Linked DNA regions of Solanum lycopersicum. The protein of the gene in region 1 interacts with the protein of each later gene in a pairwise test. Links are inferred from orthologs where the notes say so. Each region holds a gene or a part of one and is shown on either strand. Other genes may lie near its edges. The genes, in order: protein CHROMATIN REMODELING 25 and RAD51.

What was found.
Region 2: the proteins of protein CHROMATIN REMODELING 25 (region 1) and RAD51 interact in binary tests that used the Arabidopsis thaliana proteins (3 or more experiments, as listed by UniProt). The link is inferred for Solanum lycopersicum from reciprocal best matches to the Arabidopsis thaliana genes RAD54 and RAD51.

Annotation. Positions count from the first base shown.
Region 1 is NC_090803.1:55,512,945-55,516,771, reverse strand, and holds part of protein CHROMATIN REMODELING 25, read right to left. Parts: intron 2,173-3,827; coding exon 2,053-2,172; intron 1,976-2,052; coding exon 1,862-1,975; intron 1,773-1,861; coding exon 1,689-1,772; intron 1,608-1,688; coding exon 1,533-1,607; intron 1,464-1,532; coding exon 1,408-1,463; intron 1-1,407. UniProt on the Arabidopsis thaliana protein: Dissociates RAD51 from nucleoprotein filaments formed on dsDNA. Could be involved in the turnover of RAD51 protein-dsDNA filaments. Addition of RAD54 overcomes inhibition of DNA strand exchange by RAD51 bound to substrate dsDNA.
Region 2 is NC_090806.1:9,799,450-9,803,977, forward strand, and holds the start of RAD51 (DNA repair protein RAD51 homolog), read right to left. Parts: upstream 2,830-4,528; 5' UTR 2,742-2,829; coding exon 2,646-2,741; intron 1,367-2,645; coding exon 1,222-1,366; intron 1,092-1,221; coding exon 981-1,091; intron 897-980; coding exon 805-896; intron 714-804; coding exon 619-713; intron 535-618; coding exon 421-534; intron 1-420. UniProt on the Arabidopsis thaliana protein: Binds to single and double-stranded DNA and exhibits DNA-dependent ATPase activity. Unwinds duplex DNA. Component of the meiotic recombination pathway.

The DNA.
Region 1 (3,827 bases):
TACAACAGCTTTTTGGGAGGACCACTGGATTAGTGAAAGTAGTTTGAAATTCACTTTTCCTGATCTCTACTATATAAGCTCAATCTCACAACCAGATAAACCAAGTTTGGAGTCAATAAGGGTGGAACCTTATCTTTAGGGGAGCTATGAATGATCGGGAAGTAGAAAATTTAATTACCATGATTCAACTTATAGGAAGTTTGGGTGGAAACGCAGGCAACAAGATAGACTCAGTAACAAAGGTAATATTTCAGTAAAATCAGCTTTGGTTCATGAATCATAATAGCCCCAGAGAGAGATGTGCCTATGGCGGCATGTAAGCAAACTGTGCACGGTAAGAGAAGAGGAGAGATGTTCGCAATTACTACCACAAGAAAGCGGCCCCCGAATGATGTATGGCCTAGGAAACTGATTAGGAGGACAAAACTTCCATTGAAGGTATCTTGTTTTGTCTGGTTAGTGGCGAGGTGATCATGTTTATCTCAAGCAAAGCTACAAAGACGAGGTCTTCAGATTTGTTAAAGGTGTCTAATGTGTGGTCAGTAGGGTAAAAGCAATGAGCATATTTTCTTACATTGTAAGACGACAATAAATCCGTGGCACAAGTTCTTTTGTATTTTGGGCATAAATTGGGCTATGCCTAGGTCTAGTATGGATCTTTTCGAATCATTTAATGAATGTGGGAAAGAGAAATGGAGAGGAACATTGGTGCAAGATCATCACAGCATGTATTTGGTGGATAGTAGAGGAACTAAAACATCTTTAAAATACTAGTGATTCCATTTAAAAGATTAGGAAATTGTCTTGGTTTGTTCCTTTTTTTGGTATAAGCAGTATTTATGGGGGCAAGTAGGAGATTTAGTAGATTTTATTGGTAGAAGTGTAAAGATTACAGATCTGTTAGGAGTTTTTTCCTCTTTGATTTTGCTCTATTTGATTATTGAAAGTTCTAAATTCAGTACCAGTTATGGCGTTGAGTTTATATAGATTATACAAATGTTACCTTTCTCAAATTGTTCGAGTTTATATAGTTCATATGTCAAACTAGTCAATTGATGATTGATATAATATGTTAGCAAGTTTCAGTCCTGTATATGTGTAGATAATATGGAAATCTGTCTTATTCGTCATTCAACCCAGTTTCCACATAAAATATGGGTGAGTTGGAAATATTATTCGTTTTTATCTAACCCGTTTTCAGCTCCATCTATATTAGATCTGACCTGTTCATTTGCCAGCACTACTCAAATGTCAGATGTGAAAAAAGAAAAGGGAATGGGGGAGGTGCACTTCCACACTACAGAATCTCCAAAAGTCACCATAACTGCTAAAAATACTTGAGCCATGTGAAGGTATAGGAGATTTCACATAATGCATTAGCTTAATCCCATTTAGCATGGAACATACCTACTATCATGAAATGTGAACAGGTCCCGCAGGTCTTCTGCTGAGAGACAGTTTCCCTGAAATCACATATTAGTACCAAATTAGAGCAGAAGAATGAGAAAAAATTAGAGACTCTAAAATATTACCTGGATATCAGAATCTGTTTGTTCCTGCTGAATAACTTTCTGAAGACCTTCCTTTGACATCTGACGCTGGTAAACCTGCAAATAAAAATAAATTTCTTCAATCGAACAACTAGAGAAGATAGGAACTCATTAAGCAAAGGCTTCTAGGAATCAAACCTTTTCTTCAATAGTTCCAGTACTCAAAAACCTATAGATGTAGACCCTCTTCTTTTGTCCATCTCTCCAGACTCTTGCAGCAGCCTGAGGAAGAGTTGGAAAATCTAGAAATTATATATTTGATATGCAACATATTCCGGCATCATTTGGTGATACTCAGGCGAAGATTTCACCTGTTTGTCATTGGCTGGATTCCAGTCAGGATCAAATAAAACCAAACGGTTCCCACCAATCAAATTAAGACCGCAACCTCCAGCCTTGCTGCTCAACAGAAATGCAAACTCATCCTAAAAGATGCACAAAATAAGTCTTGGTAATGCCAAAACTTAGTTAGATAAACAAGTGTAACAAAATCCCCAGGTACCTTTGCTGGATCATTGAAATGATTAACTAGCTTCTGTCTTTTACTAATTGATGTAGTTCCATCAAGTCTTAAGAAGGGATATCTCCTTTCACGGCATAATTGAGAGAAAAGGTCCAGTGTCTGATTAATCACAACTCACAGTTAGGACAGACCACAAAAGAAAGAAGGAAGAGAAAACAACAGAGAGAAATCAGTTACTTATTAATTAAGGAAGAGGAAACAAATGAGAGAATTTCAGTTATACACTAGAAAATTGAATGTTATAAGCAAATATGTAACTCTATATCACAGTGTTCACATCTTGAAAGCAGGCTGTTAACCTTCATTATCTTCTGAAATAAAAGTTACAGTCACAAACAAGTTTGTCTGGTGCTGAAGTTTTACCAGCAGATATTAGACTCAGAGTAACTAAAGGAGCTAGAGCTGAGAGATGATAGTCACATGTTCTGTTAACAATATGGAACTTAGGGGTTGTTTGGTTGGGAGTATTAGAAGAAATAGATTATTATGTATGGTATTATATAATACTATGTGTTTGGTAGGAATTTGTGTCTATGTATAACTAGGGATTAGTTATGCATCCTACATGGTATTATAGGATGTACTATAATACCTTCTTTTGGAGGTATGGGATAAGTATGTATAAAGACAAAATATTCTTCAAATTCTTTTAATTATTTTATTGATTTTATGTTTTATATTTGTACTAGTAAATTCATTTAAATAAATTAGCTTACAAATTATTAACAGAGTTGTTTGTCACTAAATAAATCCAATACAAATCAATACAATATTTGAAATGTGAGTTGTTTAACATTAACTCATTAAAAGAGGCAAATATATCACCACATGACGTTTGTAATCTTAATTGAATGTACAATTTGTTTATATATATATACACACACACACACACACAATTTGTCGATATATGTGTGTGTAGTTTCTAATTATTTGTATTTTGAAAAATTTATAAAATTGCATACATATTAAAACTATAAGTTCAATTTTTATATGTAAATTTAGATGATTTATTCAACTTTATTATTGTTTACCGTCTTTTCAATTTTAAAAGTAGATAGCTTATCTTTTTTGAATAAAAATGACACTTTGTAAGTGATCAATTTACTAAGATGACAATTATGTATTCTCAAAAAATTTAAATGGAAAAAAAGACAAACATGTCAACAAATTTTTTCTTCTCATAGCTAGTTTGAAGGCATAAAAAAATAGTATTGTTCAGCAATTATTTACCTTGACCAAATTACATAATAATTTAAGTGTATAATTGGAAAGAAACTTTCTTATAAAGTTTTAATCCAAACACAAGAGGAGATGAGAAACAATGAACCAAACACTTAGTAAAATTAAAGTTTGCATTACTAATCCCTGCATTACTAATCCGTGTTACTGATCCCTGCATCACTAATCTTTGTACAAACGACCCCTTAGAACATCAGAAATGAGGAAAACACTCGGTATATAAGATTGATGAAGATCAATGTGGCAACTGGCATGTATCTTACTTCAGGAAAACACAAGAATACTCGACTAAGAGAATGGGAAGAAGAAAGCTAGCACATCTGCAAAAAAGGAAGTGGCACTCCTAGGATTGACTAAATATGGATATTATAGTCAAACTGTGGTGATGGACTACTAAACCACTGTCAAGTGGTATTTTCCCATTCTCTTCTAACAGTATCCTGATAGAGCCAAACAAAATATACGTAACACTTTCAACCAGTATAAAAAAATGATGTGCTGATCCTAATAGGCCC
Region 2 (4,528 bases), on another chromosome or scaffold:
GCTTGATCAAAACAGTTTTCAAAGTTAAGCTTCTATCAGAGATCTTTTTTATGCTTTGATGAGATGAACCCAAATAACTAAGGAAGCCACAAATTCAAGATTTTCACTATATTCAGGAAGCAAATTTTTTTTTGAATTCTAGAACACTTCAAAAAGATTTATTTGTTTGAAACAGGTGAGAGCACACTTCAAACAGATCCAAGATGTATCCAAACATGCATTAGATGTAAGATGGACATCCATAATCAAACAAATTGAGAGCTGCTTCAAACTAGAACCCTTCAACATACTCAATCAAGAGTTGGAATATTCTCTAAAAGATATAATCTAAGCACATTTTCTTGCTCAAAGTATCACAGCCACTGAGAAGCATGAGAAATTTTTTTCATAAATGAGCAGTGGAATATGGAGAAAGTTAACCTGGTCTCCACCATCATTGAGGCTGCCTCAAGCAAAAGTCTTGATTGATGATCGGTATTATAAGCTCGAGCATAGGCTACATTCTCCAGGACATCAGGACCATTCAATCCATACCTGCAGCATTTAACCCCACTGATGACAACAGTTTGAACTTCATAATACCAGAAAAACATGTGAGTTGAGTTACTAGTAGAAGACCTGTCTGCAATTTGTAAAAGTCTTTGTGGTCTGAAAGTACCCTCAGCATCAATGTACATTGCTTTCCCTTCACCACCTCCCTGATCTAATGGAAGCTGAAATAACAGATAAAGAATGATATTTGAATGAATCTTGTGCACTTTATTATGGGATTTTAAAATTAAAAAAATGTCTATGTTATCGTACTTGACAAGTCACGCATAGTGTGTGACACAGCTGAGTCTTTCCACATCGGAACTCTCCGTAAATTTCAGTAATAGATCCAGTTTCGATTCCTCCTGACAAGTGACAAAAAAAGTATGAGGTTGTGATGCCAGGTCAAATTCCGGTTCTAGAAGTTCACAAATTAGATAAATAACTACCTTCTAATATCTTGTCAAGTTCTTTCGATCCAGAAGTTATCTGTATGATTTCAAGCCTCTGTGCATGGAGTTGGCTGGCACTAGTGAATCCCAAAGGCACTAATTTTGAAGCTGTTCATATGCAGCATTAAAAAGATTTAGTACCGATTGCTGATAAAAAATTGCAGAAATGGGTGAAAAAAGAAGGTAAGGGGAAAAAACATCAGCACTGGCAATGGCAGTTAAATGAAGAGAGACATGCCTGCCTCAATAATCTTGTCAACTTTAGCTTCACTAATTCCTTTTATCTGCAGAAGTTCCTTTCTTGGAGCATAAACAACAGATTCAACTGTACATAGACCAGCATCCTTGAGTTTTTTTACATCTAGAGCTGCAATCCCTGATGCCTTGAGGACAAAAAAGCTATATGCCTCAGTAACTAATGGACCATTTCCTTTAAAAGTTGGAAGAATTACAGGGTGTCATTCAACAGAAACAACTATACTACAAGCTAGACTGGAAAAAGATACTCAAAGATATTGCCTCTTAAATATTAACAATTCCAAGAAAAAAATCTAGGAAATGCCTAGTCCAGCTTTTATGTACTACCAGTAAGATTAAAAAATCCTCAAGAGTTTAGGTTTCACTTCGTGTAAATCTTTTTAAAATCTGCAGTATGAGAAACTTATGATAAGTACTTATCTGAGTTACTGTAAATGTTAATCACTCGAGACTTAAAATTCTTCAAAAAAAGATCTAAACTGATAAAATCTTGTAAGGAGCAAAGCTGATAAGCCAACCGCATAACCCAGATGCACACTAAAATATCTGACCATCAACGCCCACCTATTGGACCCTCCATATCATGCGTCATGATGTAAATCATTTTGTGTCAAGTGCCTTTCTAGAAGCAGCTTTTCATGGTGCCCTCAATTCTGTACACTCTGATAGTAACCTACAAATTTCTAATGAAAACTGGTTGTAATTACGGGCAGCAAAACCATTGTAGCAACATCGTTTTTTTTAATTGATGACCTAGAAATTTGTTTTGAGCCAACCCTTATTGCCAACAATAGCATTCGAACTCAGGAATGATGGGTCACTCCTCTACCATTCTCCACTTAAATACTAAACTTAGGCTTGTCGCAGGGCTCCATGACTCCATCGAAACATCATACCAAAAAAACACTCATCCAGGTTTTCAAGATCAGTGGTATCGCTTCGAGAACCCATTTCACAAAGCATTCTACAACATTTAGCTTCAAAACTAAGGCAGTAAAGGACAGATAGATATAACTGTAAAAATATTAGCTTGAAATAATCCACAAGAGCACTATGATAGCGAACCCATTCCAAGAAGCCAAAAAGGGGACAGTATAGAAAACCCCAAAACAAAAAAAAGCATTTCCCATAAGCGAGGCAGATGAGATTCAACCTTGAAAAAAAGCTGTTTCACAAAATTCAGTTTTTTACCATTCAAGATTCAACCCAGAACCACATTTCAAGATTCAACATTTAACCTACGAAGTACAATTCAAGATTCAAGATCAGACCCAGCTACACTGAATCTGAAATCATAAACAATCACTATCACCAAAACAACTACCCCAATCCAAGATTTAGGACACTTGATATATAAAAAGGATTGAATTAACTCCTCAATTAAGAGAAGAAAAGGGGGGAAACCTGAAGTTGTTCAACTGGAAAAGGGCCGTGTTGAACATCCTCGATTTCATCATTTTGGTCTTGCATCGACTTCTGATTCCTGTGCTGCTGCTCCATTGCTAATTTTCTTGATGCTCACTGAGAATGGAAGAATGGAGGCAAAAGGAAATATTTCAAAGGCGTGAGGAGCCGCCAAAAATACTGCAAATGAAATCGTGCTTCACAAGCTGTTTAAATAAAACTAATAAATAAATAATACTTAGGAGGTGTTTGGTATGAAAAAAACAGTTTTCTCTGAAAATGTTTTCTTGGAAAATAAGTGCATTTCTAACTTATTTTCTCATGTTAGTTGGAAAGGAGAACATTTTTTAATGTTTGGTTGGTCAATGAAAATAATTTTCATAAAATATGTTTTTGTATGCAACCGTTATGAATTTGATGGTGATAAAAACAGTTGACAAGCAATAATGTGTCCAGAAATATAGAGAAAATTAGAAAAGAATCACTTTTCAAGAACGTAAAAGGCTCAAAAATACCCATGAAAAGTATTGGATTACATATACCTTTAAATTATATTCTGGCTCAAAATTACCCTCCACTTAAAGTATTGGGTCACATTTACCCTTACTATTAACAGAGGTGTGAATAGTAAAGATAAATATGACTGAATACTTTAACGAAAGGATATTTTTGAGCCAGAATATAGTTTAAGGGTATATGTGAGTTATTTTCGATAGTTTAGGGGTATGTTTTAGCCTTTCCCGTTTCAAGAAAAATAAATATGATTGTTTAATGCCAAATAAATATTCAAAAAACCCTTTTTCGGCCAAATAAATAAAATTGACTTATTTATTACCAATTTATCTATAAGTTGCTATGTTATGCCATTTTTTTCAAAAAGGGAGAAACTACATAAATGGGCCACAATACTCAAAATAATTACAATTTTATAGCCCAACTCAAACTAATTTAGCAAATAGCCATTCACCCAAAATAAATTACAGTTCATGCCCCCTTTAGTTTAGGCTCAATTTCCTTGGAACCCCCTTTAAATTTAGGCTCAATTTTGCCTCTTTAAACGAATGTGATGACACTTATCTATTTCCATCAAGACAAGTCAGCCTCAAATCCAACAACATGTAAGAAATGTGGAAAGTTACACAAGAATAAAAAACTTATTCATTCTAATTGATAAGAGAAAAATATCATATATACTAAGTTATTATTTAATTTTAGTACTAATATTTTTAATCTTTGCGGAAATGTTGCAATGTAATAAAAAAACATCAACTAAGTAGATATGTGGCAAAAGAAACACAGGTGTTGATTTTCAAGAAATTATCTAAGACAAATGGAAATATTAAAGAATTATGAAAGAGATGAATGGAAGTTGAGCAAATATGACAAAGAATTGGACTTTTTTTTTTTGTGTAGAACCCACAAGCTAAAAATGGAAAGAAGAACAAATGAGAAAGATAGAAATGAAGGAATTATCCAGCAAATATGGAAAATAAAAATTGGAAAATAAGGTAGCATGATATCTACCAAAATAAAAAACAAGCATAAGACAAGTTAAATGAAAAAGTTTGTCAAATGTTTCAAATGTTGGTATACATTTGACCTGCCATTTTTTTTTGTCAAAATTATCAACTACAAAGTGGAAAAATTGAGAGAAAATGGTGATTTTCTTCTTCAGAGAATTGCTATAAATTGCACAAGAAATGAGTTGATATAGCAGAGTAGAGAGAGAGTCAAAAACAAAGCAATCCATATATTTCTTTAAGTTCTTCTTATACTACTTTTTTAAGTATTTCATGTTGAAAATTATTCTAGTTCCTGCTTTTAATTAAATAGTAGAATTATTATTTTTTGAATATTTCTTCTATCTTATCTAATGGAGAAGA